2 linked regions of the Caenorhabditis elegans genome follow. The protein of the gene in region 2 interacts with the protein of the main gene of each other region in a pairwise test. Each region holds a gene or a part of one and is shown on either strand. Other genes may lie near its edges.

Region 1 (3,608 bases), on a different chromosome or scaffold from region 2:
TAGTTGTGAAATATCTCAAAATTCGGTGATAATCGACATATCGATGCTCTATTATACGTTTGGAAATGGTGTCAACGACGACGAGGGAATCATTAGAATTCCATATTCCGACCACTCTTCAAGAAGTGAAATTCTTAAATTTCTCAGTCATTTTCACTTTAAAACGATTACGCCGTGTACTAAAAAGTATTCTATCATTGAGCTGGCATCTTTGGAAAATGCAGGAAAACGATCAGAAGAGGACCACACAGTAGAAAAGTAAGTTAGTCTCATTATTGAAGCACGACTTTCGAAAAAGGGAAAGTTATTCATATTCCCAAAATTGTGAATTTTAATTAATAGGAACATCTTACTTTAGGACTCAATCTACTATCCAAGGAACACCCATTTCACAACTTCAAGAAGACCCTCTACCGCCTGGAGTTGTATTTCGAACGAATACATGCGATTTTATGGATATGGACTTGGACAATTGGCCGGAAGGACCTCCGAAAACATTTGCGGAAGCTATCGCTCGGGCCAATAATTCAAGAAGGCCGAGAAATCCAGGACTATAATTTATTAAAACTTCACAACGGTTGATGCAATAAAATTAAATATTACATGATAAGCATTCGACATGATGAAAGTTTAGGATAACAGAACGATTTGAAAAAAGATTATTCAATTTTTAATATCATTACAGTTCGATTAACAGTTGCCCACATTTTGGCTGTTCTGATTCTTTTAATTCATGTAGAAAGTCGGGCTTTCAGAGCTTCTTCTTGTAGACGACATTTTTGGTACTCACTGCGCAGTTTGGCAACTTGATAATGGAAAATAATGCGAAGAGTGTTGCGCTCTTTGTAGGTCGCTCCACATGTTGGACGGAGAGAAGGAATCATTTCAGAAATAGTCGATGATTGATCAGCGATGGCGACTTCTAGTTGTTTCTCTGCAAGTTTAGTTGATAATACCATCAAAATTTTTTTTCAACTTACTTTCAATGTTTAATTCATCCAGATTGTTTTTGAGTGAATTGAATTGACCATTCATCGAATCATGTGACTGAAAATATAACATTCAGAAACCCACTCTTTTTAAAAATTATAAAGTTATCGAGCAGACTTACCAAGTTGTTCATCGATTTAATTAATGAATTGAAGTGATCTCCGAACTGTGTACCCGCACTGTCCACATCCTCGTTTTCCAAATAAGACATTAGTTCATCATAGGCTTTTTCTTGTCTCTCTTCCCAGTCTCTTTTCTGTTCAGACAGTTTATTGTCAGTTGCTGTCAAATCCTGAAGCTGTCTTTCTAGACTTTCTCGTTGAGCAGCACATTTAACCCTGTCTTCAGCAATTCGCTCGGTGAATGAAGTTTCGGCTGAAGAAAATTTTAAAGTTGAGCCTTTTTCAATCTGTCAAACCTTCAAGCTGTTGAGTTTCGATTTGCCTCATTCCTTTTTCTATGGCCTCTGAAAATGTATTTTTAAATTCATATTTCATTGATGTTTGCCTCAAAACATACCTCTTTCCCCAGCGAGCGAGTTGGTGAACTCAGTGAGCTGCCCGCAGAAAATTTTGAATCGGTCACCATTTACTGCCTGACTGACAAGCTTTTCGAAATTCATTTATCTCTGAAATTGGAGATATTGAAATGGCCAATTCACAATAGAAAATAAAAATATTTAAAATTAACAAAAAACCGTAGCGTGTTTGCGATCGTTGCGAGACCCACATGACTTAAGAACAACGTGAGCCTTTAAACCGTATGTTTTCATGAACAGTTTTATTTTTATTCACTCATTAAACACACAAAATATTCATTTTTTAAATATGTATTCGCTTCGACAATTTTTAATTCAAATTAATTTTATTAAATTTAAGCAACAACCTACACTCAAAATAAAAAAACTGCGTGGCCTGTACTGCAGAAAACCTCATTTTTAGGCCCCGCCTTTTTCTCGTCCACTCACGGACAAAAGGCAAAAATTTGGGGACCAACCAATATCAGGCCGCCGACATCCTACGGGTTCCGCGCGCCGCTAGGATTAACTCGCTGTGGGCGTGGCGAGCTGTCTCCGCCCGCTGCGAGTTAAACATAGCGGCGCGCGGAACCCGTAGGATGTCGGCGGCATGATATTGGTTGGTCCCCAAATTTTTGCCTCCACTCCGTGAGTGGACGAGAAAAAGGCGGGGCCTAAATATGAGGTTTTCTGCAGTACACGCCACGCAGTTTTTTTATTTTGAGTGTAGTTTGTCCCAAGCTTAGGCAAATTATAATTATTCCCAGCTTTCAATGCGACGTACTTGGTGCTTCATCCTAAATAGTTTGCTGCTAATCCAAGCGCTTGTTTTCTTTTTCAAATTTCCTCGCTCTACTTGCGGCCGCGGACGAAATTATTCGGCACGGCCATATGATCATCCCCGTTGCGAAATTTACTCTAACATATTTTAATATGTTTTCTTGTGATTATCAAACTTTTTTACAGATGTCAACACAAAGATTAATTAAATTGCCTCATAGAGTTCTTTTGAAACTTCATGGCTCTGACACAAACGCGTTTCTTCAAGGTTTAATTACAAATGATGTGACGTATGTTTTTATACTCTAAAAATTACAGCGAAAATGATTACATCTTATTTTGCAGAAAACTTCAAACTCAAAATGGACTTGCTGCTTTTTTGCTCAACACAAAAGGGAGAATTGTTGAAGATGTTCTTCTATGGAGACGAGGAACTGATGATTTGTTCTTGGAATGTTCTAAAGAAAATAAAACTATTTTAACAAAAGAAATCTTGAAATATCGATTGAGGAAACAAGTTGAAATCACCGAATCTTCCGATCAAATATTTTTCACAGAAGATGTATCGGACAAACAAGGTAGAAAATGAACGTCAAAACTTTAATAACATTTTATTTTAGCTCACCGCGATCCTCGATTTTCTGGTTTTGGAGCTCGCGTTTTCGGTAATCCGTCTTCATCGGAAGTTAGCGAAAATCGAGAAAAATATGAAAATTTGCGACGATCTGCTGGAATTGCAGAAGGATCTCAAGAATTGGCGGAGTTGCTTCCTTTTCAGGTAAAAATACAACAGAAGCAATTTAAATGAAATATTTCTAAAAGTTCATTTTCAAATATTATTTTTTAAGGCAAACGGTGATCTGCTCAATATGGTTTCACTTGATAAAGGATGTTATGTTGGACAGGAATTAACTGCAAGAACTGCTCATACAGGTTACTTCAACTAAATTTAGATATTTGGAGACGTGAAATCTCACTTTCCTTTTTATTTAGTAACTTGTCAATTAAATTTTTGTAAAACCCACAAAACTAGTTCAATTTGATTTTGAAAAATTAAATTTTGACAGGTGTTATCCGTCGACGAATCTTACCATTTGAATGTGAAGGTCAAGTCAAAATTGGAGCAGAAGTTCTGGACGAGAAGAAAAATAAAGTCGGAAAGGTGTGTTTAAAAGTTATAGTGATAAAAAATTCATCTAAACGTTGGAATTATCTGGAGTCAATTCACTGTCAAAAATTGAAAAACAATAGTTTCTGTTCAATTAAAAAATCTTCAGATTATCTCTTCTGACACAACTCGTTGCCTGGGAATTCTTCAACT
Region 2 (3,307 bases):
AAAGTAAAATAAAATAATCATTAATATCAACTTTCCATTGATTCCCATACCGCTTGCAAGAGAACTTGATGCTCCATTTCTTTTTTCGCAAGTTTTGACTTTGTTTCAGTCAATTCCTGCTCAAGATTCTTCAAATTTTCACAATTTTCCGGGATTTTCTGAAAAAAAAACCATTTTCTATTATTTTAATTTATTTTTAAAGTATTTTTTAGCTTACACCCGTCTTCTTTCTCTTCTTAATTTGCTCACTTTTTACGGTAAAAAATCTGACATCGTCTGTTGAGAGCGGCGGCAAGGCGGAAATCTGAATTAAATATTAATTTTTCAGGATATACATAAACTGTAAAAAGAAACCAACCAGAGCCTCCAGCGACTCTTCAATGCTTTTTTCAGCGTCGAATTTTGGCTCCTGCTCCGTTGGATCCTTTTTCGCGGATTTAAGAGTCATTTTCTGCTTGAAAAATGTTTGAATTGCTTCAAAAATGATTTTATTCAAAAGTAGTAAGTAAAGGAAATTGATGAAAATTCGGCAAAATTCTGATTGAAACACGAAAAAATTGAAAAGTTTGTTCGTTTGACCGGCTTTATCAGAATACGAAAAATACAAATTTGTGCGCAAAATAACAAATTATTTACAAAAATTGATTCAAATCAGAATATTCCAGAAGGAAAAAAATAGGAATTAAAACAATGTGGGGGAAAAATATTACACAATTGGTTCGCCAGATTTAGATATAAGCGATCCGCAAGACGTGGAAAACAGGTTGCTCTGGAAGATGAAGTTGTCGGTTCGCTTGGGTCCAGTGTAGAAAGTCGCTTTCAAAAAGTTGCGTGCAATTGTGCAGTGCTCCGGAATAAACCTCTTGTCGATATCTTCACGGCGACAACATTGCTCAGCCGTTTTCAATATATGCAGGATACGATTGTCCAGCTTGAGATCGTGGAAAATCTGAAAATATTTGAATTTTAAAGTAAACTGTCTGTGTTGACTCACCGGGGTCAGTTTTTCGGCAAAGTTCTCCATGTTCAGCTCCAAAAAGGCTTTCAGAATATCGTTGACTGGCTCAGTTAGGCCATTTTTTCGGCTTCGAAGTTCAGAAGGATTCAGCAGTTCGTATATTGAAACCCAATTTTCCATGACTTCGGCATCCTCAGTGACTTCCAAAGTTCGGTTTAAATCGTTTTCCAGTGCTCCAGAATCCGAACTTCCCTGCATTTCACGCTGTTCGACGACTCGTGCTCGGACCACGTCACTGAAAAACCAAAATTTTTTCAACTTTTCCTCCGCGAAAATGAAATCCTACATGATTTGCTCGTGAGCAAGCGCCGCAGAATATAAACCTGGGTGCACGGGTCTGAACGCTTCGGGAATCTGATCATTTGCCATTAATTGGGTGCGGCCAAGGATAACGTTGAGCATCGGATTATTTCGAACTGAAAAATCGTTGGTAATAAGGGAAAAACTTTTTTAAAAACTCAGAAAACTTACGAATCTCCTCAACATCGTCGTCGGGCGATGAATCCTCGTTCTGGTGCGACGATCCTGGCTGGTCTTGATTATTCATGTTTATTCTTAAACAAAATTATGAAAAATTTGGTTAAATTGAGTTGAAAAGTCAAAAACACATTGAAAAAAAAAGTTTCCCTCTAAAAATGTGTTGGGCGGGGCTTCGTAAATCGACACGCAAAGTGCCGCACGGCTTTTTGCAAGACGTGCGCGCGGAGTTTCTATTTCACTGAGTTTTTTTTTCAGGGTTTTTTCAATATGGAAAAAATACATAAATAGTTGAAAATCTAGAAATTTCAACGTAAAAACGATAAATTTGATAAATTATAGTTATAAATTGAAGCTCACGCTGCCACTTTGACTAAAAAATAAAAAATCAAACAACGAGTCGGAGCTCGTGGAAGACATGAAGTCGGATTGATGGAGAAAAATTATTTTGTTTTAAAATAAATTTGAATTCTACTAATGGCAGGAAAAATAAACACAAAAAACAGAAGTGCAACGGAAAAGGCTACAAAAAACAACTTTGCGCGTCGAGTATAGTGTTTTGTACGCAGAGTTGTGTGTAAATTTGTTTTTAATCGACGATTAAATTCGAAAATTCCGCTAAAAATTAAAAAAAAAGACTGAGCATTTTAATTCTCTTCAAATTTAAAAATTAGGTCAAAAACAAATAGTTGAAATTGCTTGAGAAGCTCGTACCGTAATCTAGTTTTGCTCGTCATTTAAAATGCAAAGTACGCATTTAATTTTTAGGTTATGCGCCTTTAATTTGCTACGGTATAATTTTTATAGAAAAAACTGTTTTTCTCAAACAATTAAAAAATTAATGAAAAATCGAAACTTTTTGTATCCTGGCAAGTTTAAATGCTTTTTTTTCACAAATTTTGAGTAAAGACAGTATTTTTTCCCGACAAATTTCCAGATTAGGGTTTTGGGACCGTCTTCAGCTGCAGGCCGTGACATCTTCCCGTACCCTCCGGTTGTAAACGCGCTGGGGACACTTGTTATTGATCCATATACGCACATAGGCCAACGGTCCGCAGTAGTCGAACATTTTTTTCGCATCTCAGCACATTTCTTCTGGTTTTTCCGAGCAACTAATTATTACTTTTTCTAGTTCGAAAATGGGCAATTTGCACTCGACAATTATGGAGCGTCTCCCCCAAATTGCCCAAATTTTCAACAAAAATTGGATTTCAAATCTCATTGTCAAAGTTGGTCAACTACGCGTCGAGCTCACCACAAGAATGCTCAACTTGTTCCAAAAGCTGCAATTCCAGCAGTTGCCGGTTCGTCAGAGGATGGTCAGAGTGGGACCAGTAGAAGAAGCTCCAGGAGCTGAGTGGGTGGAATACCAGGATCGTATCGAGTTGTACAATACAAATGAGATGAAGCTCATTTATTTCGTGTGTGCGATGAATATTCTGTTCCTTGGGGTTTTCCTGCGTTATTTGTTCTATTGATTTTTACCTTGTATTTCTAAAAAAAATTCATTTATGTATGTAAATTGTGTCGAATTTGAAAATTTTGTGAAATAAATGGTTTCTGTAAACTTTCGGTTGCCTCAGAGGTTGAGCGGCAAACGGTTTTTTTTCTTGGCAAATCGGCAAACCGAAAATTGCCGATTTGCCGAAATAACCATATACAGGGGTACGATAACTAGAAACGTTTTGCTCGCGACAAGACCCATGACAATTGAACCAGGGGTTGGCGGAAAATGATTTTTTCCGGCAAATCGGCAAATTGCCGGAATTGAATTTTTTTGGCAAATTGCAGGAATTAAAATTTCCGGCAAAT

The links. The genes of interacting proteins can lie anywhere in the genome.
Region 1: the proteins of F54D10.5 (region 2) and syp-3 interact in a two-hybrid assay, tested with the Caenorhabditis elegans proteins (one large-scale study listed by BioGRID).

Annotation. Positions count from the first base shown.
Region 1 is NC_003279.8:8,662,503-8,666,110, forward strand, and holds syp-3 (Synaptonemal complex protein 3), read right to left. Parts: upstream 1,619-3,608; 5' UTR 1,613-1,618; coding exon 1,510-1,612; intron 1,457-1,509; coding exon 1,409-1,456; intron 1,366-1,408; coding exon 1,112-1,365; intron 1,048-1,111; coding exon 981-1,047; intron 935-980; coding exon 732-934; 3' UTR 558-731; downstream 1-557. Other genes in the region: mrt-1 (5' exonuclease Apollo), read left to right, coding at 4-258, 359-557; F39H2.3 (Aminomethyltransferase folate-binding domain-containing protein), read left to right, coding at 2,474-2,577, 2,633-2,865, 2,908-3,065, 3,136-3,220, 3,355-3,449, 3,565-3,608. UniProt on the Caenorhabditis elegans protein: Plays a role in early meiotic events; during prophase I contributes to synaptonemal complex (SC) assembly, synapsis and chiasmata formation and stabilization of homologous chromosomes pairing.
Region 2 is NC_003280.10:3,806,606-3,809,912, forward strand, and holds F54D10.5 (uncharacterized protein), read right to left. Parts: upstream 1,573-3,307; 5' UTR 1,566-1,572; coding exon 1,490-1,565; intron 1,435-1,489; coding exon 1,305-1,434; intron 1,254-1,304; coding exon 995-1,253; intron 950-994; coding exon 707-949; 3' UTR 566-706; downstream 1-565. Other genes in the region: F54D10.4 (uncharacterized protein), read right to left, coding at 51-158, 218-304, 359-448; F54D10.10 (uncharacterized protein), read left to right, coding at 2,635-2,973.